4 linked regions of the Lepisosteus oculatus genome follow. The protein of the gene in region 1 purifies or fractionates together with the protein of each later gene. This does not show direct contact. Links are inferred from orthologs where the notes say so. Each region holds a gene or a part of one and is shown on either strand. Other genes may lie near its edges. The genes, in order: sf3a1, snrpa, prpf19 and phf5a.

Region 1 (7,146 bases):
AAACAACAGTGAATGGGTCTGTATACGATACATAGCAATGCAAAGGTTTCAGGCTGTGGTGAAAAGATGAGCTTTGAGAAGGTACTGAAAAGGGATGGAAGAAGTATCTTATATATTGTCCATGAAGTAATGAACACCTGGATAGAACTGCTCACACACAGCTTGAGTCCATACTTATGAAAGTGGGCTGCTACAGTACATAATCTATGAAATTATATCACTGACTGTAGTTCCTGTCACTACAACGTCATTAAATACCTTAACAGAAGAAGCATAAAATAAATGTCATAATACAGAAGGAGAGCGCTCCCTCTACCTTGGTGTACTGCTCCACCAGCTTGGTGAAGTAGTTGAAGAGGCTGTGCTGGGGCCGCAGGAAGTCGAACTGGTAGTTGCGCTGCTCCTTCTGCATGAGCTGGGTGAGGAACTGCCGCCCGTTGCGCGCAACAAACTGCGCCGTGAGCTTCACCACATCCAGGTCAAAGGCCGAGATGGAGGGGGGGTCGGCGATGAACTCGTACTCGGGGGGAGGCTCCTTCGGCACCACGGTTTCTTGGATCACCTGCGCTTGCACCTTGCAAAGATGCGAAGCTGTTAGCTGGGCTTGGGAACACCGTTCTGCACTTGTTGCGGTGTATTGGATCGCGTTAAATCAGTAGTCTGTTCAAGCCATAATGTATGGATCAGAAACTAAATAACTTTTAGCCACTTACGGGGCTCATATAAACATATCAATAAATTATCTTTGTTCACTTGGCAAGCTATAGAGATTTGCTCTTCCTGAAAGGGTGAAATGCCTCATAGGATGTGACCATCTGTTCAGTGGTGAAGAAACAACAGCACTTCTGATGCACCTATTAAAAGTCAAGTCCTATAAGTTCCATTTGGTTGCATCACAAACTGACTGACAACACGTTTTTTTGTTCTGCTTTCAAAAACCCATTAAAACGAACCTGCGGAACTCAAGGGACAAGAACAGAACAATCAAAATCCACAACGACTTCGTTCCTTCCGAGCCTCAAGGCCCACTGCGCTTAGTTACAAAGCACGAGGTCGTCTCCGAGTGTGGGGGGCGGAGGGGGTCCCCCGAGCCTACCTTCTGCGGGAGCTGCTGCTGGGGCGCCTGCTGCAGGGCCTGCTGCTGCATGACCTTGGGCACGGCGGCCGAGGGCTCCTGCGCCTTCCCCTCCTTGAACTCGTTGACCTTGTGCCGGTAGTAGGCATGGTAGGGGTCGTTGGGGTTCAGGAAGTTGAACTTGGGGTTGTTGATCTCGTTCTGCCGAATCCTCGCCTCAAACTCCGGTCCGTTTCTGCAAGGGTAGAGGAAAGGAATGGATGCTGGAATCGTAGATGCCCTTACAGGGCGAGTTCAGAAACAACAATGGCTTGCAGCATATTGCACGAGGGTTCAATCAGTGAGCTTGTTATGGTGACGTGACCCCACAGGACACCAACTGTGCTCAAGTCTCCCACGGTGGGAGGCCACTCGTTGAGTGCAGCAGGATTCACTGCGCTGTGCAGCTCAGAGCAGGGAGCAGCTGTAGCTGAGAGACAGCACCTAATTCCCAAGAGGAGCCACATGCATCTATCTTTTCAAGTCAAGTCGTTCAGTTCAGAGTCGCCTGGAACTTCGACAAATGCAGCTATGTTATGGATACCTTCATTAAAGAAAAGAGCAATTTTTGTTTTGCTGAATTCAAAGCTCATGTTCAACTTTGCATTAACTCCAAAATGCATTTTTGTTTGGTTATCTTTGTTTTTGCCATATGGATTTTGTATTGTTCCTCTAAGAATACATCTGCCTTTACAAATGTAATAATCATTTTTTTAAATGGGACCCAGGACCTGGCTCGCTGGGTTCTGTTGTACCTATAGTGAAATCCTCAGAAACACCTCAACACACAATAGAGAACTATTTAGTACATCCATCATGGTTCCAAAATGTGTTTTTTTTTTCTTTTAGAGAATTAAATATAGTGCCACCTGGTGCATCGAGAGAGCTGCCAAGTTATCAGAAGAAACAGCCTACCTGGCTACAAAGCTGGCTGTCTTATCGACGATGTTCCGGACCTCCGGAGGGGGGTAGATGATGCCCACGATGGGCTTGGAAGCCGGCGATTCCTCTTTCGCTTCATCGACCTGTGAAAACAGAACATTAATCCGATACTGAGGGCTACAGGTCACATCCACCGCCTGCAAAGAGACACTGCTGGGTGTAGTTCTTCAATGCATTGTGACACTACACCGCGAAATGTAAAAACAGCGAAATCTCAAAACCCCAAAACACAGGCGGTCAACTTCGCAGCACGCCCGTTCTTGCACAGTTAGAGTTTAGTATTCGTGTGGCTCAACCATCCCAGTATACTATTATCGCGCAGAAGATATTACAATTATCCCCCCGAATTACGGATGACTTCCACAGGTCTACCCAAAAGCACCCGACTTGTTTTACACTGAGAAAAGTTCTTAGCTCAAGGGTAAAACTCCCAGAACATGTATTTGCACTGAGCGCGAATGTAAACCGACAAGTTTCTTTACAGGAATATTAGAAAACAAAACTCTTTGGATCTGAAGTTACTATGGACACGTTGCGTGGACCAGAACACAGTTTTTGTAGCTGTTTTTGTATGTACAGTTTTACCCCGGGTAAACCACGTACTTAGGCCCGCAGCGCTTCGCAGCTACCCGTTACCTTATTGTTGGTTTCCGGCTGCACGATCTGCACCGGTCCGGCAGGCATGGCTGTGCTGGGCCGAAGACAACCCAAACACCCGCGTTTCCGTGTCTTGGTGAATCACTTGCGTCCTCGGACTACTGAATCCAATTTTTCCTTGTATCTTCGATTCGCCGTATTATGGAATCGAACGGAACAGTAATGTTTAAATATAAAAGGCCTCGTTTACAGCCCGCAACGAAGAACTCGTTTCGCGTAACTCTCGTAACCCGGAAACGAAAGGAGCTCCTCTTCCGGAGTGCCCCTCGCTTGGGATTGTGGGAAATGCAGTTCTCTGATGGCCGACTTAATAATAATAATTGCTTACACTAATATTGCGCTTTTCTGGACACTCCACTCAAAGCGCTTTACAGGTAATGGGGATCCCCTCCACCACCAATGTGCAGCATCCACCTGGATGATGCGACGGCAGCTATAGTGCGCCTGAACAAGTAATGTAGCCAAATCATAAAGGGGGATTATTAGGTAAGGTCCAATGGGAAATTTGGCCAGGCCGGGGTTACACCCCTACTCTTTTCGAAAAACGCCCTGAGATTTTTAATGACCACAAAGAGCCAGGATCTCGGTTTTACGTCTCATCCGAAGGACGGCACCTGTTTACAGTGTAGTGTCCCCGTCACTATACTGAGGCATTAGGACCCACATGGACCGCAGGGTGAGCGCCCCCTGCTGGCCCCACTAACACCTCTTCCAGCAGCAGCCTTAGCTTTCCAAGGAGGTCTCCTATCCAGGTACTAACCAGGCTCACACCTGCTTAGCTTCAGTGGGTTGCCAGTTGTGAGTTGCAGGGTGATATGGCTGCTGGACTTGCAAGCAATTGCAATTTCCTGTGTACCACATATTTGAAATATATTTTTCATCTCAGTATCGCCATAGTTTCCACAGCCTTCACTGTTTCTGTCGTTGCTTTTCATTAAATAACAGTTAACTATTTACTGCTCTTCAGTGTGTTTTTGCAAAATTAAAAATAATGTTTACAGTTATTTATGTTTGTCTTAATTTTGTAGGCGCCCTTATCCTGAGCTACCAACCGCACACATATATATATATTAAAAAAATATTAAATGTATACACGTTTACAGAAACAAAAACAAGCGAAAAGCTAACAAAATTAATATTAAGGCCAGTTCAAAATTCCGTGGCACTATAATTCTGAATATAATTATAGGTCGCCTTGGATAAAAAGGCTACGTTATAACTGTTGTCATTCTTAGCAATCAAATAATGTCCGAGCCAGTGCCTCCTGATAAAATGGCTCGACAGCTGGAGTTTCAGATGACGTCATCCTCAGGCGACTTCCTGTCCGTTGTTTCCATGGAAATAGGGGACAACAGATGGAAGCTTGAGGATTTCAAGAGCATAACGATCAAATAAAACAGGGACGTTTCGCTGTATTTCATCGAACTGAAAACAGAAGAGCAAAAACACGAAAGCTCTAGCAATGACCATAGAGTAAGGACAAGTAAGTGTTTCTTGATGTATCATCTGATTTTTTACTGTGTGTCGGCAGCAGGAGCATGATTTCTGCAAGTGCATTGGCTTGTCTGCTTTTTTTCTTTTTTGGTGACTTCGAGAGCGATGGTCACCAAGCTGAATGTTGAACGGAGAGCTGTGACTTACTGTAAATCTCTGAAGACTGCCGACTCAAGTGTCAGCCCTGTTTCTAATGACTCCAGTGTGTGCTGAGTTTTGTTCGGTCTGATTTTGTGATTATTTAATTTACCCCACATTTAACCAGGAGACTACTTCCACAACCCTTTGCGTAGTGAAGGGCCTCCAGTTCTCAGTTTTAAATGCATGTAGGCTCCACTTGTGCCCTTGGGTTTAATTCACATTTCACTGTTCCTTCTAGGTTTTTTGATAGTCTTCAGAACTGCAGCTCTGGGGTTTTCAATTTACCATTCGAAACTTGTAAGTAATCTGAAAATGATACTTTTTTAGAGCATGTTAAAGGAGGAAACTTCAGTTATACTTATACTCTAATGAAGCAATCACATGTATATAAAGGGGTCACAAGAGCCTGAGGAGTGTAATCCTGGTAAGTAACTCTACTCTTAATGGATTTTGTGATTATTATTTATATTAATTAATTTGTTAGCTCTTCTTAACAATACGTTGCTTTACAGTACATTCAACTGAGTCATGCCATGACTGTATTCAATTTCAATCCACCACACTAATATGCGATAGCAGCCAGAAGGTTTTGATTCAACAATACAGTTTCATAGTTGTACTCTATTATCGACTCAACTTGTTATAGTAGGTCCTGCCTAAATAAATGCCTTATTTAGTTTTGTCAGATATGTCTATTGTGCCTTTGTTTTGTTTTGTGTGTTTTGGTCTGATGTCTTTTCTGGCTTTCATTTCAGCTTTGCTCTTTGTCATTGAGGCTACATTGAACTAACAATTGTCTCATTAAGACATTTCCAATCGTTTTGAGCACTTAGGGACACAGCTCAAGTATTCAGTTAAGTAATGCAAAACTGAGTTAGTCAAACCCAGAAGACACAGGTGCTCTTTGCAACCATGACTAAAACCACTTAATTAGACGGTCAGGTATTTTTATTAAAACAAAAGCCTTGTACTCTTTCACAGCAGTGCTTCCCAAATCAGTACTGCAGCCCTTGCCCCTCTCCCATCAAGCCTATCTGTATTGATGATCATTGATGCATTTTGATATTTAAACTCCTAAACATTGTGGAGAATGCACTAGTACAGTGATTCTGTCTCTTGGCCCTGGCAAGCTATAAGGTCCTCTGGTTTCCATTCCTCACTGACTGCTTAATGACAATCAATCAATTAAGAAAAACGCAATTAATTGGTCTTAATTACAATTGTTTCCAAGCCTTTAGTAATAGAAGAGTTTGTTTTTCCCATAAAACCTACAGGCTCCTGTCTAGATCCAATTTCAGTACTCCTCTAGGGCCTGGATTGCAAATTATTACAGTAGTCATGATGCATTAAGTAGCATAGATTTAAAAATGAGAAGATTATTGTTGGGTTAGAAAAATCGAAAGGGATCAAAATAGCGTTTAATAAGAGTTAGGGAGGTAGAAGTTCCAGCAGGGAGCTGCGTCGGCTTGCGCAGGCTGCAGAGTAACAGGTAAAGGGTTATTCCTGCTGAAAGGAAAAGAAAACAGAAAAAAGACCCGTCTTCAGTTGTCAAGGGTGTTAGGGAAGTAGCGCTGAAGACCATGAGGCTGTGGAGGTCTGGGCTGTTGTGTGCATCTCAGCACTCGGTCTCAGCTGGCAAACGCTTCTTCGAAGGGTTGGAGAGCGACAGCAGACTGGGAGGCTGGGGAAGATGAGCCACCTGCTGGGCCGGCAGGACTGCGTGGACAGCCTGCGGAGGGACCTGACTGACCTCCAGGGCACGGTCCTGGATGTGTTCTCCCGCACCGGCCCGATCCGCAGTCCCTCCTGGAAGTTCCCCGACAAGCTGTCCTGTAACCTAGACCTGGTGACCCTCCTGGAGCAGTATGACTTTGTGGAGGGTGAGGAGGAGTTCAACCAGCACTCCCATATCGTGCTGCTGGAGCTGGTTGTGGACAGGTAAGGTTCTGTTCCTTCTACTTCATGTCCACACAGTATTTACTAAGCCTTTATGAATAACCCACACACTTAGTTGAGAAAGTGAGAGCTCAAATAAACGCAAAGTGTTGTCTTCCTGCTTCTTGTACTGGGTGGCAGCAGTGAGTTGCCTTTGATAGAAAAAGTGTGGCTTTCAAATTGGAAACAGACTAATTTTGAGTTTAATACGAAGCAATCCCTATGAAAAGTGAAAACCTTCGGTGAATTTGAAATTAATTCTGTTCCCCCACCTTTGTTTTAAGTAAGTACTTTATGTTTCTACAATTTCAACTGAATATTTACGATACTAATGTAGCTCAGTACAATGGAGGCCCAGTACAAGATTGCTGAGGTGTCCCTCTTGATCTTTGTCCTTGTAATACATTTTAAATCTGTATCAATAACAAATGTAATAAATAATAACATTTGACTTTTTCAAAACAATATCTGAAGGTGGTATTACTGCTTTATTAGCACATTACTTTCCTAACTTACCAAATGATTGTAGTGTAAAAAATGTGATTTTGAGGTGTCTTTGCAGTACCCCAATAAGCTCAGAGCCCTGCTGCTGCTCTGTCTGATTGTTTCTCTCTCAGCAGGGGATATTACTCCTTTAACAGTGTTCATCTCAGCAATCATGTGAAAGAAACAAAAAAAGCATCAGAGCACTGAAAAAGCAAGAACTCAACATCTGTTGCCAAGTGTCAGCCCGTGTCTGCTGGTGTGTGTTGTAGGCGTGATGGTGTGAGTTCCACTTACAGGCAGTGATGTTGTCTGTGCTGCCAGGCTGGTGCTGCTGCTGCAGAGTTTCAGTGGCTTCACCGAGGGCATGCTGGGAGGAC
Region 2 (7,219 bases), on another chromosome or scaffold:
CAGGCAACAACGTTCCCTCTACAACAGGCAACAACGTTCCCTCTGAAGACTCCTGGTTTAGTGAACCAGCTGGAAAAGCAGAGTGACCTTGTTATGATTGCAGCAGTGGCCTGAGAGCTCCAGTCTTGGGGGACTGCAGAGCCTGGGGTTCTATTCCATCTCATTACACCTCAGAACGAGCTCAACTTTAACGGGTCCGATTTTTAACATTTATAAGGAGCCAGCGTTGATTTAAATACCCCAAGAATGCCTGCGAACTCCTGGGGTTTCGGGGGGGGCTCGGGGCTGGCGCACTGCCCCGCGGCGGCTGCTCTCTCACCTGAGACCACGGCCCAGTGCGCCCGGTGCCCGTTCCGCAGGCACGGCTCGTGGTTGAAATCCTCATCGTAGCTTCCAGACGTGGGAGTCAAGGAATCCTTCAGGCGGTGCTGCAGAGCTGGGTCACTGGGTCAGTTACGTCCTGACTACTGTCGAATCTTTGTGGCAACGTGTAAAGGGGATCACCGATCGATGACTGGGCTGGGGTGACTGACATTACAAGGTGCCCACACTTTGGCCACATGCGGTTGGGCTACGGGGCGCCGTCAGCGGCAGTGGTCGTGCCCAGAGGGGGGCTCTTGCCAGCGAAGGATACGGGACGAGGAGGGGCTGGCCGGCGGCGAGGTGCCCTATGACGCGCATCTCATTCTCTCCCCTCAGGCCTCCGCTCAGCAGCTCCGCAGCTCCGCCGTACAGCTCCTCCGCCAGCAGGGCCATGGCCTGGGCTGGGGGGAGGGAGAGGAGAGGACAGGGGGTGACAGGAGCGGCACCGAGGGCCCAGGGAGGTACCCTGGGAACAAGACCCTACAGCCTTACCCACGGAGCAGCTCTGAGCTGTTTTTCTAACTGCCCGATTTGAAACTGTAAAAATGTGTTGTCTTCGTTTTGGACACCTGGTGCCCAACGGCACTTCCGTTTGCATCTTCACGGTCTGTGGGGGCACCTGCCCCCCCTCGGAGATCACACAAGGTCACGAGACCAGACGCGCATGTTGGGAGTCTGCTCAGTGTCGTGCACAGTGTTGTGTCCCCGTTGGACCGCACCTCCGCTATCAGAGTTGCTCATTTTCACAGCCTTCGGTCCAGCTGCGAGAGTAGTGGACGGTAGGAAATGGGAGAACGGACACTGTGGGTCAGTCGAGGGGGCGGCTCACCTGAGAACATCTCTCCCTGGGCGGTGTACCCTCTCCCCAGGGCTCGGGCCACGATCTGCTCCAGAGGCAGGGGTGTGGGCCCCTGCAGGAGGTGCCCGGCCATCCACAGAGCCACCAGCCCACACCTGTGCGGCAAACCCCCACTGTCACCCCGGAAAGAGACACCCCAATGCACGTTCGCCCCCAAAACCTCACCTCGTCACTAACACACTGCTTCTGCTCCAGCGCAGACTGCAAAGTATCGCAGTCGGCCAACCAGCACAGCGCCCCCCTCTGTCACACTGGTATTCGGACTACGATCTGAGTGGTGCAAGTGCTAAATATTTCTTTCTTCTAACTCAAAATAATTCAGCATATTTAACGTACCCAAACCTCCCTGACCAGACACTCATGTCTAAATGTCCACCCAGGCCGGGGGCGAGGAATACTCACTGTGGCCCATCCTGGATCAGCGATGGCACATACTTATTGAACAGCACCCACTGCAGGTCTCTCCGGAAACTGCAGAAGGAACACATCCTCGTTTCTAATCCGCACATCCAGTAAAAAAAAATACATTCTCCAGCGCAAGTGAAATTGCATCTGAAAGAGAAGGGAATGCTGCAGGCCAATATTTATTTTATCTTTAATATTTAAAGTTTAGGGCGGAGCGGTGGCTCTGTGGCTCAGGATCTGCGCCTGTGACTGGAAGGTTGCCGGTTCAAATCCCGTGGCCAACAGAGGAAACCTACTCTGCTGGGCCCCTGAGCAAGGCCTTTCACCCCAGCTGCTCCAGGAGCGCTGTACAATGGCTGACCCTGCGCTCTGACCCCCAGCTTCTCTCCCTGTCTGTGTGTCTCATGGAGAGCAAGCTGGGGTCTGCGAAAAGATGAATTCCTAATGCAAGAAACTATATAGGGCTAATGAAGAAATATTATTATTATTACATTATCAATACCCATGTGTCTCTAGCAAGCTCAGAAATACGGGATGGCTTTCGCATACTCCTGTTTTGCTCAGATCTGTACAGGTCTCAGTCTCCTCCGAATTCTCATCCTTTGAAATCGCGCAGTTTGAGAAAATGGGTTGTGAGTTCGGGCCTCTGGGTTTGGCCACAGTCATTCGGGCAGCACTGCTCCCTTCCTACCTGTCCTGTCTCTGCCGGAGAAGCAGCCGGGCCTCCTCGTAGTCTCCCGAGACCGGGGCCTTTCCTGCGGCGATGGCCTGGTACAGCTTCTTCTTCCCTGGGCAGGCGGGGGCCGGGGGGGGCGGCGGGGGAGCAGGGGGGGGCGGCGGAGCCACGAGAGTCGGGGTGCTCATGGCCGTGATTTCCCTTCAGGGGTCTGTGGTGAAGAGCGACCGGACCGGTGAAGGACGCCGACGCAAATACACAAAATGTCTGCCCGTCTGCAGCCGCGAAACGCGAACGAGCAGTGCGGGGCCCCAGATACAGGCTCGAGGCGAGCAAGGGCTGGCCTGGCTAGTATTGGGGTGGGAGACGTCTAAGGGAAGCCAGGCTGCTGCTGTCAGTGGTGTTGGTGGACCAGTAGGTGGCGATATTCCCTCTGGACAGGTGTCTCCAAGGCAGTGCCCCAGTATGAAAGCTGGGGACCCTGTTTGGGAAGAGGTGCTCGTGTCCACCTGAGGTCCTGCCTGATCGGTCAGTAGAGAGAGGACACTGTCCGCAGGGCTGCTCTCCAGCCTGGCCTCCCTGCAGTTCCTCCTAATGTCCTCTCAGCAGTTTCTCTCTCCTCCGCCTCATCTGTGAATAGTGAGGCAACTGTCTGTCCTGCAGGTGAGTGCACCTAAATGTTCCTCTGGGGTGGAAAGTGCAGTATAAGTGTCATTAACGACAATGATAATTATCCCATCCTGTTCACGGTGTGGCCCCGCCTTGTGCCCTGTGCTTCTGTAAAGGACTCCAGGGTTCTGACCCTCATCAAGTTTAAGGTACAGCACCCTTACCTTAAAGCCAACTTCAGTCACCCTTTTCTCATATTGAACGGTCACTTTAATAATCTTATAAAAGACCACCACTAGCCCTAGCCAGCGGCTGGGATGAAACATACGGAGCGGAAATAAAATTCTTCACAGACTCGCAAGCGAAGAAGTTTATTCGTGCAGTCCCAGGGAGCACGTGCCCGGACGCAGCTCGCGTGCAGCGCGTCAGGGACAGAGGGGCTCCCCGATTTGGGCAGGGATTAAAAATAGACAATAAACAAATGTACCATCACTGGCTAGTTAAATGAAGTTGGAACTTTTGTATTGCTGCACTTTTTAGCTGGTTTAAACAAAACAATTAAAAAAAACTATTGTTTTCCATTTTGATGTGTGCAATACGGTGAGTTTTACAATCATTGTATAATTAAAAAGGTTTAAGTCAGAATTTGCAAAAATGTATATGAAAAAAACCTGCCACGATCAGCACACCTTCCTTTAAACGTCAGTGGAACTCGTGAAACTGGCTATTTCTGGCCAATCATAAAAGTATTTGCAATTTTATTTAAAAAAAAACTTCGCGGGATGCGTCGTCTTTTATAATTACCAAGGTAAATCAACGCGCAACTACAGCTATCTTGGAAACATTTTTATCAAATGCATTCCTTCACACACGCAGAAACCGGCCAGAACTGTATTTACTGTCTAATCAATTCTAGGCTTAACGAGCTATCAAATACTTACCCATGGAAATCGTCGGGTCCAAGTCGGGAATATTTTTACTGTGACACCCGGCGTAACACACCGTCAAGTCAAGGCGAATCAAGCCCTCTGTGAAACTGCAGATAATCATTCGTCATTTTGGCTCTACCCAGCGATTAAAAAGAAAGGCAAAACCAACTCCTTCTTAGCGCCAAAATGGCATCGTAAGCGCGTGTAAGAAGCATGTCGGACAGATTGTCCAATCAGAACTAGAATCAGAGACCGGGTGGGTGGGATATACTGTACATGTGTCCAATCGAGAGCTGCTCTAGCTTTCGCCTCCAATCGCGTTAAGGAACGTTAACAGGTAGGCGGTGTTTATGGAGTGATTGGCAGGGAGCTGGCAAATTACAGGGCAGCTGCTAGCAGTTAGTCTCCATGGTCGCCCGAGCGCAAGGAAGTCCAGGCGAGTCGAGGGAGTAGGCCGCAACCGGGAGCCGATTTTAAACAATCCGTAAGTAAATCCTTTTGTAAACGAGCCATCGTGTAATTATTTTATATTCTTTAGTCAGTTTGGTGATCGTGCGATGAACAACAGGGAGTATTTTTGTTTTTATGAAGCGTGGCGGTGATTTAATTAAATAAAGGAGCCCGACTCGGGCGTAATCCCGAAACCGTTCATTCGCTGGGCGGATCTGATTCGCGGTTGTTTGTACAAAACTATTAACTTCGTAATCGTCGCCAGAGCTCCAAAGGCGTTCGGCCGTTTTGAGGGGATTTTTTGCGAAATAATGAAAAAAAATCGCAGTAAAATTTGAATTTTTGCGCGTGTATTGAGGCGGTTCTGGTGGGCGCTGGCGGTCCTGTTGTTTGGATACCTCACTGCCGGAATAACCGGGCTGGGGGTGTGATCCACCGAGTGAAACCCCCGGGCTCATGATCTGGAAGCGGGACAGCCTGAACCGTGTCCTTCGTGTTCCGAAAGAGAGGGGGGGAGTCGGGCGACTTTCCCTCCGCTAAAACCCGTTGACCCGGGGGGGGCTCGGTTCTGAGCCCGTGTTAACGATGCCCGATCTTTGCTCCTTGGTATCGAGAGCAGTTGAATTTGCCAGAAGATGGAGGCGAGGGTAAAAAAAATAAAACCCATATTTCTTAGTGTCCCAGTAGGCTGTCCCTTTGAGGGGGTTTGTGTGAGAGCGGTTCATGTTTAGGGCGACTGGGGGACGTGGGGAGATCTGGCCCGGATCGGAGGGAGTCCGTTCCTCCTTGAGCTCCTGGTTTCGTGCAGCTTTTTTGTTTTTAAATAAGTTTTTATTTGAACACCAGAAATACAAAAAAAAAGGAGACAGAATAAATGAAATATATACAGAAATACGCACTTCAAAGCGAGAGGAATTCACAATTGTAAACACTAAAAATTAGATATTTCCATTGTATGTCTTTCTTGTAAGTTTATTTCTAACAGGATTTAAATAAAAAAGGAATTCAAGTTTAAAAGCATGAATAGAGGGAACAGTATTAGAGCATTTACATGTGTGGATAAAATATTTTGCCAAATAATTAACATTAATAATAAAAACATATCCTTTTTTCCAAACCAGTTCTAACGAAATATAAAATAATATCAAAATCTTTCGATTTAACATTTGCCTTTACATGTTGAGCAATAACATTTTGCAGATCTGTCCAAAACAGTTTTGTATATATGCAGTTAACAAACAAATGTGACGAAGATTCCTTCTCATTATTACATAGTACACAGAAATCGTCTTGTTCATCCAAAAAGTGACGATTCTGGTTTCGTGCAGCTGTGTAGCAGAAGGGACCGGGTTCTGAGCTGTGCTCTTTCTTTCCCAGTGTCCTCAGCGGCCATGGCTATGCAGGAGCTTCGCCCGAACCACACCATCTACATCAACAACCTCAACGAGAAGATCAAGAAGGATGGTAGGTGCCCCCAGCAGACCCCTCGTGTCGCAGGGGAGAGGTGACGTGTGAGGAGGGCTCTCCACCCGTCTGCCCCGTTTGTTCAAGCAGGGCGGATGGCCCCCGGATCAGAACCGCGTCGATGTTGTGTTTCTGACTGGGACGTGTGTGATTGCAGCAGTGTTGACGTGTGACGGGAGGTTGGGTCTGCTGGATAGTGGGCCTCTGGGTGATGTCTGGCGCAGATGGGCCTGAGGGAGGCCAGTGTTGCACCAGCTCTTGTGTGTAACAGTAAAATAATTCCCTGTGATTTATCATGGCTTTGTCCTTTACAAACAGGGGGGTGGGAGTGTGTAACAGGCTACCCAGCCATGTGGTTTGATGATACCCTGGATTCTCAGGAAACCGCCAGATGAGGTCCTGTCATCAGTTAGCTACTGACTACTAAATGGGCTGTGTCTTGTAACCCCCCATTTGTGATCTTTCATGTGTTTTTTTTTTCTGAATGCAAGGAGTTTCCAGTGATTAACAGGAGCTGATGTAAAGATCATCACTCGGGCGCTAGTGTGTGGAGGGGAGGTCTTGGCCTGCCTGGTTTTCTCAGGCGGCTTGCTTTTCTTGCAGAGCTGAAGAAGTCCCTGTACGCCATCTTCTCGCAGTTCGGCCAGATCCTGGACATCCTGGTGTCGCGCTCGCTGAGGATGAGGGGCCAGGCCTTCGTCATCTTCAAAGAAGTCAACAGCGCCTCCAACGCCCTGCGCTCCATGCAGGGCTTCCCCTTCTACGACAAGCCCATGGTAGGGCCCGCTGTCCGCGGCGCTCGCTTGCAAGCGTGGCTTTTCTTGTGCTGCGCATGTGGTGGGGGGGTTGTGGTCCTTATTAGGGAGTTGTGGTCCTTATTAGGGAGTTGTGGTTTTCACTGTAAAAGTTCTCAGATGAAAGCAGGAATTTGTCGGGAGTGCACGACCCAGGTGTTAAAAAAGCACCAGAGTAAAACTAGGCAGGCACGGCACTGTTTCCTCTCGCATGATTTTCGTCCTGCCCAGGGTGTAGCCCTCCTTGCGCCTGTTGTTTGCGGGTGTGGGTTCCAGTTTCCCTGAGATCCTGTCTCGGATAAAGTGGTTTAGAAAATGGATGGATGTGATGTTGTTCATCTGTTGCACTGACCTCCATCGTAATAAATTGGTTTGAAAGAATGACGGTATCTGTGCTCTGCTCAGATGTGAACACTCAGTGGGAGCGGTTTGTATATAAATGCTGATGGAGCAGTGCTGATGAAATTAACAGCATTACACATTGTTTTAAACACCTAGAGGACCCCCGATCCCTTTGCCCGACAGCTGTTTGTTGACTTCAGCTCTGCATTTGTTAACCTGCAGTCTCATCTTTTGATTAGCAAGCTGAAGCAGTTGTCTGTTAATTCTGTTATCGTTTTTAACAAATCGCACAGTGCGTCAGGGTCAGTAAGACTCTTGAGTTTACAGT
Region 3 (7,399 bases), on another chromosome or scaffold:
AGGTGCCGCCGGCTCCCCGACTCTCCCCGGCCGGCCCGGGCTGCCCGAGACAGGCCGGTAGGGCCGCGCACAGCACCGCCAGCAGCACAGCGAAGGGTCTCCGGAGCGGGTACAAAGCCATCGCCAGCACCTGTCCGAGATCGGGACTCCAACACAGCCGACGGGCGAGTTCGCGATTTAAAACCTGGAGTTGAGCCCCGTCCGCCCTGCTTAGCACGTAAAGCTGAGAATGTTACTCATCAGAGAGCAACCCTTTTTTTTAGAAAACGCACAGCTGTCTCGCAATAATAGAAGTTTAAATCCAATTTTAAAGGAACCTCTTCAAGTGCGAGTGAACCAGCTCTCCCTCATGAAGTATCTGCAGTCCAGAGGCCGCGCTCGTTTCCCAGTTAAACCAGGTTGTAGAAGATTAAATCTAAGACGACGAAAAGGTTGCTAAAAAGACTCCCGAAAAACTTAGAACATCAACTGAAACTCAGCGGCGATTTATGTATTTTATTAAAAATGATATATCCTGGTATAAGATGCGCCTCTGTCACAGCCTGCACAACCTTGTCTGGACTGCTGAGCCACACGAAGGCACAGTTCACTGGGAGATAAAATAAAGTCGCACTGAAATCTAAAACACCACATTAAGCCGCGACCTTCTGCGGCTAAAAATAGATATCTTTAAAAAAATACACAGCTGGCGCTGGAGAAGAGAGTTTTGTGCAAATGGAGGTCTGTCTTCAGTCCAAACGAGGGCTCCTTAATGTAGCTTTCGATCCGGGTTTAACTACTTGTTGCTGTTTTAAAGAAGTAATATTTTTTTTTAATTAAAGGCTGACGATATCGGAAAAAGCGAGTTAAAACAGCGAAGCAATTAAAAGTTCGGCTAACTAAGCGAGCAAACACGGGCAATGTTTAGGACGCTCCTATCGCTAATATTAGTTACCGCTACAATGTTAGAAGCCTTCTGCTGAGCTGTATCTCCTTAAACGACCTGAGCCACCCCGCCCCGCCCTACCCGCCAGACTAAAGCGGAGTGACTCACACAGTATGCATGTTAAATTGGAGCCAAGCCCGTGCCTGGCGAGGGGCGTTGGAGCACCGTTGCATTTCGGGAGTTGTAGTTTGTGTGCAATTGAATTCCAAAGTAAACTTTATTATTGTCATTCCCTAATGGCAAATGGACAGCGTCCAGTACAGGACTACAACATATTCTGTGAGATGTATGAGACGTAAAACCGAGGTCCCGACTCTCTGCAGTTAAAAATCCCAGGACGTTTCTCGAAAAGAGTAGGGGTGTAACCCCGGCGTCTTGGCCAAATTTCCCATTGGCCCTTATCAATCATGGCCTCCTAATAATCCCCCTCTATGAATTGGCTACATTACTCTGCTCTCCTCCCCACTGAGAGCTGATGTGTGGTGAACGTTGTGGCGCACTATGGCTGCTGTCGCATCATCCAGGTGGATGCTGCACATTGGTGGTGGTGGAGGGGAGTCCCCATTACCTGTAAAGCGCTTTGAGTGGAGTGTCCAGAAAAGTGCTATATAAGTGCAAGCAATTATTATTATCATTATTACTATTATTATTATAACCTCCCGGGAGGTTAGATCTCTGCCACGCGATAGCGGGGCTCTCACACCGATCCTGCAAAACTGCCTCCGCGCCTCCGCCGCCCCCGTCTTAACAGACTTCCCAACCCGTGCGGGTCCTGACCCGAGGGCCCCTGGCTTTAATTCACACACTGCGTACAGCACCTCTGGGTCACGAGTCAGCCAGCTGTGCCGTTACACACTGCACTGCCCTCCTGCAGTCAGGCCCTGGGCTGCGGGGCACTGCCATGCCACCCTGGTGCCACCCTCGGCCACCTGCTTCCCCGCACCGAGCTTTCCGGCGTCCTGATCTCCCCACCCTGCCCTGCCCTGCCCTCTCGGGCCCTGTGCTCCCCCGAGGAAGAGGGGGTTCCTGGTTTGGAAGAGCGGGTTGGACTCTCTTGCTCACCCACGGATCGTAATTGTGAACAAACTGGAAGAAACCTCACGGGGCGCCCCACCGCCGAGCCCCGAAACTGCTCAGCATCTTCACCGACCCCCCTCTCCTCCCCGTCACTGGCTCACCCTGATGTGCTCATTCAGACCTGTATTTAAGCTGCGTGTGAGGTGACTGGGTTTGTGGCTGTGGCTGCTGTTCTGTGTCTGTGGTTTTGGGTGACCCCTTTAAAGTCTTTGAACTGCAAGCGGAGCTGAGCTCTGTCCTCCGCGGACGGGGGCTGGAGACGGCGGCTGCGATCAGGCTCTGCGAGGCAGGAGGGGGCGTCAGTGAGAACAGGAGGACTGTTGGAATCGAGAGGCCCGTGTGCACTTCTCGTTCACTCGACTGAGAATGCTCACTGTGAGGGGACCTGTGTGTCTCTCCCCCACACCGACCCAAGACCAGATTTCAGATAAGACCACTTTATTGGCCATATACAATTTCTTGCATTTGTCTTTTCCCATACCCCAGCTTGCTCTCCATGAGACACACAGACAGGGAGCTTTTATATTTCATTATTTCATATTTCCATAGGGTCAGCTATTTATACGGCACCCCTGGAGCAGTTGGGGTTAAGGGTCTTGCTCAGGGGCCCAACTGAGTAGGATTCCTCTGCCGGCTGCGGGATTTGAACCGGCAACCTTCCAGCCACAGGAGCATATCCTTAGCCACAGAGCCACCGGTTCGCCCCCTGTTGGGTAGTTAGGAGCTAGTTGATCCCAGGATTTCATCCAGCATCCAGAAACCAGTGTATTGGTTTTAACATCATGGCTGGGAAGCTTGTTCCACACTCCCACCGCCCTTTGTGTAAAGACATGCCTCTTGACCTGACTGCAGGACCTCGTCCAGGTTCTTGAGAGAAGCCAGAGTATCGGCTTCAACGACATCAGTGGATACAAATCATCCTGCAACTCATACATCATACATAGCAGCCATATCACCCTGCAACTCACAACTGGCAACCCACTGAAGCTAAGCAGGTGTGAGCCTGGTCAGAACCTGGATGGGAGACCTCCTGGGAAAAACTAAGGTTGCTGCTGGAAGAGGTGTTAGTGGGGCCAGTAGGGGGCGCTCACCCTGTGGTCCACGTGGGTCCTAATGCCCCAGTATATTGACGGGGACACTGTACTGTAAACAGGCCCCGTCCTTCGGATGAGATGTAAAACCGAGGTCCTGACTCTCTGTGGTCATTAAAAATCCCAGGGCGTTTCTTGAAAAGAGTAGGGGTGTAACCCCGGCGTCCTGGCCAAATTTCCCATTGGCCCTTATCAATCATGGCCTCCTAATAATCCCCCTCTATGAATTGGCTACATTACTCTGCTCTCCTCCCCACTGATAGCTGATGTGTGGGGAGCGTTCTGGCGCACTATGGCTGCCGTTGCATCATCCAGGTGGATGCTGCACATTGGTGGTGGTGGAGGGGAGTCCCCATTACCTGTAAAGCGCTTTGAGTGGAGTGTCCAGAAAAGCGCTATATAAGTGTAAGCAATTATTATTATTAATTATCCTGGTTTCTTCCCCCTTTCCGCTGGTAAGCGTTACAGGAGCATAAAGTCACGAACCTCCTCCACATTCAGAGACACTTTCTTCCCTGCAAACTGTCAGATTATTCAATCCATGCTGAAAAGAGAAGAAAGAAGACACAATGTTTCGGCCGTTGAGCCTTCTTCAGGTGCCGAAACGTTGCGTTTTCTCTCTTCTCTTTTCAGCATGGAATAAACCTATTACTTGTTCCATTGCAGCCTACGCATGCTGACGCAGCTCCCCACCTGAACTACTTCAGATTATTCAATTCTACCTCTACCACTGACTCATACTGACGTTTTTTTTCCACATTTCTTGTGCTGACTTGTATTTTAAATTGTATGTGATTTCACTTCACTGCTGTTCTGTGTTTATATTTTGGTGTTTCCTCAATGTCTTTGTATTGGAGCATACATGCAAACAAGCATTTCATTGCACTCGTGCATAAGACAAGCGAACTCAGCTGAACTGGGCCACTTGTTCCACACTTGGTTTCTTTCAAGAAACAGCTGGATGGGATTGTAGTGCTAATAGCTTCTACCAACCCAATGGGTTAGACGTAACATTTCTTAGGATGGCCTGCAAGCTCACACGTTCACTGGCTTTCCCACTCTAGTCGCATACTGCTAACAGAAATTTCTTTTAGCCAATGAAAATGAGAGTACCTGGCGCTCTAACGACAACCTTTCTCTCGACCCAGAAGGAGGCGGGCCTGTAAGTCGTGATTCGCCTGTGGATTGGCTCAATTTGTCAAATGGGCGGTGTCGGAGGAGCATCGCGCCGAGTAAGAACACCTGTCATTGGTCAAGATGTGGGAGAAGGCGGGGCTGGAGGACCGGGAGCTCTCGGAAGCTATCCCAGCATGCCGAGCGCGCCGCGGCGGTACTAAGTCGCGCGGCGTGTTGTTGCAGAGTTGTAATTCGCTGGGGCAAGTGTGTAAAAAATAAATCAAATCTACCGAAAGGACAGCGGAGATCTCCAGCACCCGATTCCGTTGTTGGCTGGAGGGTTTGAATCATGTCTTTCGTTTGTGCTAGTAAGTCCTGGCCGCCGGGAAAGCTCGGAAAAAAAGAGTTTCATTGTGAAGTAAAGACGCGTTGTAAATGTCGGCACGCAGTCGAGTTTTCCAGGGCTTGCGGCGATACACATCGTGAATTTGCCGATAGTAGCAGCAGTAGCGTGGGTTTCGTGTGTTGTGTAGAAAAAGCCTGTGTTTCTGGGAATGTTTTGGGTGCGCGAGTTGAGTTGAGGTGAGGTGGGAGTGTGGGTCGGGGGAGGTGACGGAAGTTCGTTTCTCTCCCGTGTTGCAGTCTCTGCGCCTCATCGCTGCTTATTGAGACGGGTTTTTCTGCCTAAAAGTAACATCGGCGGCGGCAGGATTGTGCCACTGCACGTGTGAGCCCACAGTCCTGCGTGAGGCTCCCCCACTCGAGAAGGGAGCTGTGCAAGGGTCCTCTGGCCTTGCAGTTCTGATGGTAACAGTACCTGCTGCCTGGGCACAGGCGGGTTTGTGCGCCGCAGGGCCTGATGCAGACGTTCAAAGACGACTGCTTTTGTTTTCCCGGATGATTTTCAGAGAGGCCGTTACCCTCGTGGGTTAACAGCCGTGTCTGTGTTGCCGTGGGAGGGGGGGTTGTGTGAACTTCAGTGGACACTGACTCCGTCTTGCTCTCCCCCAGTCTGTCACGAGGTGCCGGAGCACCCCTGCGTGTCCCCGGTGTCCAACCAGGTGTTCGAGCGGCGGCTGATCGAGAAGTACATCGCGGAGAACGGCGCTGACCCCATCACCGGCCAGCCGCTGTCCGAGGAGCAGCTGGTGGACATCAAGGGTGAGGCTTCTGTGTGTCTGCTGTCCCTCTATCACTAATCCCAGCCCCAGTGCTGTCCAGCTGCTGGACATCAAGGGTGAGGCCTCTGTGTGTCTGCTGTCCCTCTATCACTAATCCCAGCCCCAGTGCTGTCCAGCTGCTGGACATCAAGGGTGAGGCTTCTGTGTGTCTGCTGTCCCTCTATCACTAATCCCAGCCCCAGTGCTGTCCAGCTGCTGGACATCAAGGGTGAGGCTTCTGTTTGTCTGCTGTCCCTCTAGCCCTAATCCCAGCCCCAGTGCTGTCCAGCTGCTGGACATCAAGGGTGAGGCTTCTGTGTGTCTGCTGTCACTCTATCACTAATCCCAACCCAGTGCTGTCCAGCTGCTGGACATCAAGGGTGAGGCCTCTGTGTGTCTGCTGTCCCTCTAGCCCTAATCCCAGCCCCAGTGCTGTCCAGCTGCTGGACATCAAGGGTGAGGCTTCTGTGTGTCTGCTGTCCCTCTATCACTAATCCCAGCCCCAGTGCTGTCCAGCTGCTGGACATCAAGGGTGAGGCTTCTGTGTGTCTGCTGTCACTCTAGCCCTAATCCCAGCCCCAGTGCTGTCCATCTGCTGGACATCAAGGGTGAGGCTTCTGTGTGTCTGCTGTCCCTCTATCACTAATCCCAGCCCCAGTGCTGTCCATCTGTTGGAGATCAAGAGTGAGGCTTCTGTGTGTCTGCTGTCAATCTAACCCTAATCCCAGCCCCAGTGCTGTCCAGCTGCTGAAGAGCAGCTTGTAGACATCAAGGGTGAGGATTCTGTGTGTCTGCTGTCAGTCTAACCCTAACCCCAACCTCGTCTGCTGTCCAGCTGCTGTCTGAAGAGCAGCTCGTGGACATCAAAGGTGAGGTGTGTCTTGCCATCTCCCACGCTGCACTGCTGGGATGCCTGAGCAGCTCGCTGCTGTAGGAGGCGTGAAAGATGAACCTCAGCACTGTGTTCTACCGCATGGCTGACCCGGTAGGGAGCTACGTCCTGGGAGAGGTGGATCTAGCCGAGCAGCGCGGGGAAGGGTCCTTTTCCGCACAACATCGTGTCCTCCTGCACGGCCGGGGAAGGCTGTCGGCAGACCTGAAAGCACACGCGTGCTTGCTGTTCCTGCTGATGTAGCGGGGCTCGGAGTGCTCAGCCCCTTCTGACTCGTGCACAGTGTCAGACTCGGCCGTGGAGTTATCCCCTGTCTCCGCAGCGGCCGAGAGCTGCTGGGGTCTAATCCCAGCAGGGGCAGGGAGAGCTGTAGCTTCTTTCGCCCCTGGAAGTGCTGCATTGGAGCCTTCATGTTGGACTGAACACTTCCACTGGAACAAATGCATGTATATCATGATTCCTTTCCCGTCCAACCCTTCTACTTACTAACTGATCCGAGGATCTCGGCCTGCAGTTTCTTTAAAGAGTCCAGGGTATCGGCTTCAACGTCATAGCAGGGCGGTTTGTTTTACACTCACACTCCCACTCCCACTCGTAAACTAGCTTTAGTGAAGAAAGAAGTTTGTTCCAGGTCCCTGGTGTCTGAGCCTTGGGGTCTTATTTGTGTTCTTGGCTTATGCAGAAGCAAGCCTTGTGTACTGCTAGAGACTTCAGAAAAAAAACCCATTAAGTACAGTCCAAACAGTTTCTGATTTCTGTGCTGAAGGAATCGAGATCCTGATGCGCGGAGCTCCCACTGCTGGTGTCAGCAGGACCTGTCGAGTTCCAGAGGGACCGTCTCTATTAACCACCCTCTCTCTCTTTCAGTCTCTCACCCCATCAGGCCCAAGGCTCCGTCTGCAACCAGTATTCCTGCCATTCTCAAGGCACTACAGGATGAGTGGGTGAGTTTCTCAGTGTGTCTGGACTGTATTAACCCCTCTCTCAGTGCAGTGTTAATGTACTGGAGTGTCCAGTCAGTGTGTCTGGACTGTATTAACCCCTCTCTCTCAGTGTTAATGTACTGGAGTGTCCAGTGAGGGTCTGTCGTGTTTTATTTGCTGTAGTAACTCCACTGTCTGTCTTTCAGGATGCAGTG
Region 4 (7,070 bases), on another chromosome or scaffold:
CCAGTTCTGGTCCTGGAGGGTCAGTCAGTGTGTCTGCAGCAGGGCTGTCCAGTCCTGGTCCTGGAGGGGTCAGTCAGTGTGTCTGCAGGTTCTCTCTCTATAGCAGCAGCACCTGAAGAGCTGGGAGAAGCTGTTAAACTGGTCCAGTTAGGTCAATTATGAGCCGATTTGGCCTGTTAACAGTTCAGCTGGAATAAAACCCCGCAGACACACACCGCCCTCCGGGACCAGGACAGGCCACCCCTGGCCTTACCGCTAAACCCGCTTCGAACTAAACAGGACACTCGCGATTAAGCACAGTATAAAAACACCTTTATTACATTTAGAAAATCCTACACGTGTGAAAAAAAAAAAAGCAAGATCTTGGTTTGGACACCAGACTGGAGGCGGGACATCTGGACGTCTGGGCGCCCTCCCGACCTTTCCCCTTTCACCTCTTCTTGAATCCGTACTTCTTGCGCTCGTAGAAGAGGTCGGTCTTGGAGCTGCCCAGGTTCACGATCTTCGGACAGCCGTCTCTCTGCGGGACGGAGCAGAGCGAGGCAATCAGATTCATCGATGGCGAAACACCGGCCATGAGCCCCTTTGTCCGGCCTGGGGCAGGGGAACGGCTACGCTGGACCAGCGGGTCACCAGACGAGGGGGCGTTAACCTGCAGGATGGTGGCTCTGCAGGACCAAGGCTGCCGACTGCCGTCTAGATCGATTGATCACATGACACTATCCCAGTGGGAGGTCAGCGGTTCCCAGCCGCTGTCCAGGAGGAACACCTGTCTGCTGGTTTTCACCCAAGCTGGGCCCTAATCTCCTGCACTAACCGAGGACTAAACCGATCTGCGTGTATTAGACTTTCCTATAACTCATGTCTGCGGGCAGTCCTGAGTGTGACAAATACCCGCTTCAAGGGTCTTTTTCCCAGCAGCTTCAGCACACAGGACTTCACCGATCCTCTCCTCAAATTTCTTGCCAGTTTCTGACTCTTACTAGCTGATCTGTTGATGATGCACAGACAGTCTGAATAAAACTATCAGACACGCCCACACGGGGGTGTGACCCCATAATCTGACACCTGCAATTGGCTTTTTTCTTCCTCTCACAGGTGCAGTGGGTCACATTTCAGCACACCTGAACGAGGGAAGTTCTGTTTCTCGGAACCTGGCAGATCACACATCCCCCTCCACCCTGTAGGGGCTGAGAGCACATTCACATACATGTACACCCCAGACAGAAAACTGAAATCACAGAGTCTGTGTTTAAGAACTCAGCTGGAGAAAAACCCACAGAGCACAGAGGCTCCTTAATCTTGGTCCTGGAGGCCAGAAAGACGACTCGAACCTGTGAAGAGGGGAGCAAGCAGGCGCGAGACAGGACAGGGGCAGGACAGGGGCAGGACAGGGGCAGGACAGGGGCAGGACAGGGGCAGGACAGGGGCAGGACAGGGGCAGGACAGGGGCAGACCCAGTCTCCAAGGGGCGGGAGGATGCAGAGAGCGGGCACTCACGTCTTTCTCCTGGATGGTGCACTCCTTGCAGTAGTAGGCGTCCGAGACCCCCGGTCCCCCGCAGATCACACAGCGGCCCTGGTAGGAGCCATAGTTGCACTCGTCACAGATCCGCACCAGCGTGCAGGGCCGCACATAAGAGTCACAGATCACACACTTCCCATCACCTGAGAGAGAGAGAGAGGGGTTTATACAGACACACTGACTGGACACTCCAGTACATGAACACTGCACTGAGAGAGAGAGGGGTTCATACAGACACACTGACTGGACACTCCAGTACATTAACACTGCACTGAGAGAGAGAGGGGTTCATACACACACACTGACTGGACACTCCAGTACATGAACACTGCACTGAGAGAGAGAGGGGTTCATACAGACACACTGACTGGACACTCCAGTACATGAACACTGCACTGAGAGAGAGAGGGGTTCATACAGACACACTGACTGGACACTCCAGTACATGAACACTGTATTAACCTCTCTGTCAGTGCAGACATACTTACTGACTTTATTGTAAAAGATATTAAGAAAAATTATATATCTAAGAAAATAATTTGGTGAATTGTTTCTTTGGCCACACAGGTCGTAAAAAAAACTATAACACACTTGCCCCCCCAGCCAAGAAATTTTAATTCTGAAACCCTCAGTCTACAGATTTTCCCTCATAAAACACTAAGGTCACATAAATTTAGTACTTACATTTTTCACATAATCTTCCAATGGCTGCAATGACATGCAAAAATAAATGAGAAAGAAATTAGGACTCATTATCTATGAATATTAGAACGAAACCCAGCAATAATAATAAAACATTCCTAATTAGCCACCCTAATCATGATTTAATTACCATCTGAGTTAAAGTCCACTAAATTACAGTGAAACTACTTACTACCAACACTCATGCATTATTACAATCATTCCAGGACAGCTTACTGACGGCTGTCCTTTCAGGAAAACACGGTGCTGTAACTCGCCAATGAGCCCCGTGCCTTCCCCAACAGCAGATTCAGACATAACTTTCATATTGTGTTTCAAAAGTGGGTTACAGCAACACTCGCCAGCAAAATACAACAAAACACAACGACACTAGTATCTTGGTTCGGGATTGACGTTATTATAGAGTGTCCTAGGCAGTTTTTTTAAAAGTATTTCGTGTTACTAAACGGACATACCCGCGCAAGGACCTACTCGTTCAAACTTTAAACCGGCGCCCTGCGATCATATTATAAAGCACGTTGCCGCCTACATTCTGGGCATAGTAACTAAAAGAAAAAGAGTTGTTTTTAAATAGGAGCTCCCGTTCTTACCGACACCGGCTTGTTTTCTACAGAAGATCAAGTCAGGATGATGTTTAGCCATGTTGAGCTGTAGACAACGGCGCTGTGGCGCGTCTCACCTTTCACCTTTGAACTCAGCGTTGACCCTGTAGTTACGATATATTTTTTTATTAGTTATTTCAACTTTTTTCCACCTGACTGCGTTTTCTAAAGAAGGCCGCACCACCTGTTGTTCACAAAACCGTCTACAATTTCTTCATTTTAAGATTTTTATCTAGCACGCGATCTTTCATGCGGTTCCCGTAGCAACCAGCTCACATTTCTCCTCTCATTAAAATATTTTAAAATATTTTTTATTTACTAAGAAGTGAAAATGCTGCTTATCCCTTTTGTCCTGATTACGCTGCTTTTGTAATGACGTTCTGAGCGTTTAATAAAAGATTACTTGTAAACTTATCCTGGCAGTCGACTACAAACAAAAATGTTAATATGATTGAATACTGTGTGTATACGGACATATTTCCACAGATGTCATCAAAAATAGATTTTATAGTATTCGAGGTACTATTTCTTTCCAAAAATGACAAAAAGAAGATTCGAACATTAATATTTTATCTGTCTGCTAGGACAAACGTCAGCCCCCCGAGGCTATAAAATCGGGTGGCTCAACGTCATCCTCAAGCGACACATCTTTGTCAGTGAACAAAATGGCGTCCTACTGTCTAACCGTCAGCCGGCTTCAGGTGAGTGAATTTGAAATAACTCGTATTCCTATATTAATCGCTACTAGGTCTTATGGATTCCGACAGTTAGCCGCGTACGAACATAGAAGAGTCGGTCTGGAGGGATGTTATTGTTAGGAAATAAAAAGAATGTTAGAACCGTTGTCTCCCTCTCCTGACGTTAGGTCACGGTGTCCCCGTTGGAGTCTTGCGTGTAGCGGGTGATAAGCTGCCCCAGCAATAACAGACTGTTTAACGGCAAACACGGAGTACGGCTCAGTGAAAGGAAAACCATGGTTTAAATGGTTTTCACATCTGTCTAGCCCTGGGTGTGCCCGAGAAGCACCAGGAATGCCTCTGTCTGGGGGCTGCAAGGTGATCGCAAGGTTATTGAATTTGAAGTGCGCACTCCGAGCGTTTCTAACGGGGAACGCTTGTACTGTGGATCTCGCACTGGGACGGCATCCGCATTGATCTGGTTCAGCCTTAGCCAAAATACGGGATAAAAACCGTCGGCACTCATGGTGTACAATCGCATTCGGCGACGTGTCCAGTGTGTTAATTTGCTTTTAGGTCTTTTGTGATGCCAAAATTAAGCTTGGCTTTGATTATTGATAAAGGTGCATCGTTTGTCTCCTTTTCTGATTTTAGTTTTGCTTGCCACTTCATCTAGCTTGTGATAAATAATAAAGTACATGAATAAAAAATGGCTACAACCTCATACCCACGTTACCAGGTTTCAGTCTCATGAGTTGTTTTAATAGTTTTTATTTTGTGTCGTTTTTATGTGCTTTGTGTGGATCTGTCATTTTGATTTGTTTTCCCCATACTGAACAGATGTAAGTGTTATGAATTGTTAGCTCCTCTGAGTTTCTTTTTTGTGCAATTTATAACCCGTTAAAAAAAAAACGTTTTTTAAAAGAATCGCAGTCCCGTTCCACAGCAGGGCGCTCCACTCCGGGGTTTAGCAGGTGCTGGCACCTTATTCTGAGTCAACTGGTGTTGAGTTAAGTGAAGTTCAGTAACGACCATGTTGGGTTTTCTGCCTCGTTGTTTGACCCACGGGGTTCTGTAAGTTGTAAAACCCGAAACAGAAGTTTCCCTCTGTTCCTGTAGGGGACCGCACTGCATCCTGGGATTCTATCCTCCTCACGTCCCGGTCCCTTCATTCCTGAGTGCTGTTAATTTTCTCACTGGGCGTCGGACTTGATTTTGGCCCCCACATTTTCAAAGCATGTTGTAGATGATTCTTATTTCCTCCATGTCGACAGTATCTTTCAAAATCATCGCTCCTCTTTTCCTCCATTTCCTCTCCCCCCTCCTGGTCCGTCGCGCGCTGTGGGCCTCTGCTCGCGCCTCGGTGTCTCAAGGGAACGTCAAGGTGACGCCGGTGCCCTCTGTCTCGGTGTTGGGTTGCACTGCCAGCCCTGTGTGTTTACAGAGCAGCGAGCTCATTCCATCAGATGCATTGTTTGCAGTTTTAATTTACGCGCCCCTGTTCCTTGGGTTTAAGCCCTCTTTTCTCATGAGTCCTGATCTCGTCGTGGCCTGTACGCAGACTCTCTTCATTGCTGGCGGTCAGGGCATCCCCAAGGTCTTAATAAATTAAAGTTGACCAGGGTAAAAGGAAGAATCCGCCTCTTGACACTGCAGAACCTGTTGTCTGCTTTTATTCCTCTGCCCCCTTGATTGTGTTGCTAGTGGTTAACAGACTACTGTGTGAACATCACAGCCGGTAATACGTTATTTATTTATCCTTACTGATCATGTTTTCCACACTTTTTGAGCCACCCAGAAGGTCTTTGGGGGACTGTGCATTTCTCCTCCCGTATCACAGCTCTTGTATGCAAGTTAAGAAGTTAAGCCTCTGCCACCAGAGTCACAGTCCCAGTCTGGGATGAGCCCCTACAGCCCAGAGATCACAGCCAGGGTCCCAGTGCAGGATGAGCCCCTACAGCCCAGAGATCACAGCCAGGGTCCCAGTCCAGGATGAGCCCCTACAGCCCGGAGCCCCTAGTCTGTTTAAACATGATCTGGGAAAAAAAACTCCTGGAGCTGCCGAGTCTGTGTGGAACCGACCGTGGAAAGTGACTGCTCTGTGTGTGCTGTCTTCCCAGCATGCCCTGGGGCAGGGCGCGCGGCGGCTGCACGTGACGGCGGCCTTCAGCGCCAAGGCCAAGGTGTCCATGAGCCGCTTCGAGCCCGGGAGCTACATCGACTACGACAAGCTGCACCGGAACATCAACATCGTCCGCAAGAGGTGAGGGTCGTGCCCACCTGGGGGGGGGGGGGTCAGGCTGGACCCCCTTGTGGGTCCCTGGCGACGCCGCCCTTCCTTGCCCCGTCACGAACCTGTCCTTGTGGACCTCCTCCCCCCCCCCCAGGCTGGACCGGCCCCTCACCCTGTCCGAGAAGATCGTGTACGGTCACCTGGACGACCCGGCGGGGCAGGAGGTCGCCCGCGGCCGCACCTACCTGCGCCTGCGGCCCGACCGGGTGGCCATGCAGGACGCCACGGCGCAGATGGCCATGCTGCAGTTCATCAGCAGCGGCCTGCCCACGGTCGCCGTGCCCTCCACCATCCACTGCGACCACCTGATCGAGGCCCAGCTCGGGGGCGTGCAGGACCTGCAGAGGGCAAAGGTCAGCAGGGCAGCGGGAGGGGTGGGGGCTGGGAAGGGAGGGGGAAAGAGGCTGGGAAGGAGGTCTTCATCTTCCGTCGTCGGGTACCGCAGGAAGGCAAGATAGGAGAGGGGGGGTGGAGTGAGTGGGAGAAGTGTTATTCGGGTATCGGGACCTGTATGGGGGGGGGTGTTCGCGTGGGGTGTGCTTAGTCCCTGCCGTGGTTCTTTACAGGGGAGGGCGAAGAGGTGAAAAGCTAAACTGTTTTGCTCTTGTCTCTCTGGTGACCCAGGAAGTGAATCAGGAGGTGTATAACTTCCTGGCCAGTGCTGGGGCAAAGTACGGAGTGGGCTTCTGGAAGCCTGGCTCGGGAATCATCCACCAGGTAAATCTCGGATGCTGTTTTTTTTTTTTTAAATATAGATTTATACGCTCTCTCTGCTTTCTTCCACTGACGTTTCCACCCTCTCGCCCCCTCGCAGATCATCCTGGAGAACTACGCCTTCCCCGGCGCGATGCTGATCGGCACCGACTCCCACACGCCCAACGGGGGCGGGCTGGGGGCCGTGTGCATCGGGGTGGGCGGGGCCGACGCCGTCGACGTCATGGCGGGGATCCCCTGGGAGCTCAAGTGCCCCAACGTGAGTGATGTTCCTCTCCCTCCCCGCCCCCACGGGCCGCCCAGCAGCCCTGTCTGTCCGCTGCCGAACCACTCTGTCCGGGGCAGGAGGGTCGCGGGGGAGCTGGAGACTATCCCAGCAAGCACTGGGTGCAAGGCAGGACACACCCCGGACAGGACACCAGTCATCACAGGACTCACGCACTCACGCAGAATCCCAGAATCCAATTAACCCACCAGCATGTTGGTGACCCCCGCGGTCGATAGTGGCAGGCAGGAGGGGGTGACCCCGGTGGTCGATAGTGGCAGGCAGGAGGGGGT

The links.
Region 2: the proteins of sf3a1 (region 1) and snrpa fractionate together in Homo sapiens (co-fractionation; 3 studies listed by BioGRID and IntAct, with this or other methods). This does not show direct contact. The link is inferred for Lepisosteus oculatus from reciprocal best matches to the Homo sapiens genes SF3A1 and SNRPA.
Region 3: the proteins of sf3a1 (region 1) and prpf19 fractionate together in Homo sapiens (co-fractionation; 3 studies listed by BioGRID and IntAct, with this or other methods). This does not show direct contact. The link is inferred for Lepisosteus oculatus from reciprocal best matches to the Homo sapiens genes SF3A1 and PRPF19.
Region 4: the proteins of sf3a1 (region 1) and phf5a purify together in Homo sapiens (affinity purification with mass spectrometry; 3 studies listed by BioGRID and IntAct, with this or other methods). This does not show direct contact. The link is inferred for Lepisosteus oculatus from reciprocal best matches to the Homo sapiens genes SF3A1 and PHF5A.

What each region holds. Positions count from the first base shown.
Region 1 is NC_090717.1:13,808,735-13,815,880, reverse strand, and holds the start of sf3a1 (splicing factor 3A subunit 1), read right to left. Parts: upstream 3,010-7,146; 5' UTR 2,741-3,009; coding exon 2,693-2,740; intron 2,140-2,692; coding exon 2,030-2,139; intron 1,311-2,029; coding exon 1,097-1,310; intron 575-1,096; coding exon 317-574; intron 1-316. Other genes in the region: ccdc157 (coiled-coil domain-containing protein 157), read left to right, coding at 6,039-6,286, 7,091-7,146. UniProt on the Homo sapiens protein: Component of the 17S U2 SnRNP complex of the spliceosome, a large ribonucleoprotein complex that removes introns from transcribed pre-mRNAs.
Region 2 is NC_090698.1:2,559,329-2,566,547, forward strand, and holds the start of snrpa (U1 small nuclear ribonucleoprotein A), read left to right. Parts: upstream 1-4,215; 5' UTR 4,216-4,325; intron 4,326-5,668; 5' UTR 5,669-5,682; coding exon 5,683-5,755; intron 5,756-6,358; coding exon 6,359-6,531; intron 6,532-7,219. Other genes in the region: actmap (actin maturation protease), read right to left, coding at 320-390, 635-764, 1,193-1,317, 1,625-1,693, 2,319-2,491. UniProt on the Homo sapiens protein: Component of the spliceosomal U1 snRNP, which is essential for recognition of the pre-mRNA 5' splice-site and the subsequent assembly of the spliceosome. U1 snRNP is the first snRNP to interact with pre-mRNA.
Region 3 is NC_090701.1:41,961,609-41,969,007, reverse strand, and holds the start of prpf19 (pre-mRNA-processing factor 19), read left to right. Parts: upstream 1-4,391; 5' UTR 4,392-4,558; coding exon 4,559-4,577; intron 4,578-5,220; coding exon 5,221-5,370; intron 5,371-7,128; coding exon 7,129-7,205; intron 7,206-7,390; coding exon 7,391-7,399. Other genes in the region: voltage-gated monoatomic cation channel TMEM109, read right to left, coding at 1-121. UniProt on the Homo sapiens protein: Ubiquitin-protein ligase which is a core component of several complexes mainly involved pre-mRNA splicing and DNA repair. Required for pre-mRNA splicing as component of the spliceosome.
Region 4 is NC_090707.1:38,169,456-38,176,525, forward strand, and holds phf5a (PHD finger-like domain-containing protein 5A), read right to left. Parts: upstream 3,013-7,070; 5' UTR 2,869-3,012; coding exon 2,817-2,868; intron 2,233-2,816; coding exon 2,209-2,232; intron 1,668-2,208; coding exon 1,501-1,667; intron 521-1,500; coding exon 431-520; 3' UTR 296-430; downstream 1-295. Other genes in the region: aco2 (aconitate hydratase, mitochondrial), read left to right, coding at 3,494-3,529, 5,626-5,768, 5,893-6,151, 6,423-6,515, 6,613-6,771.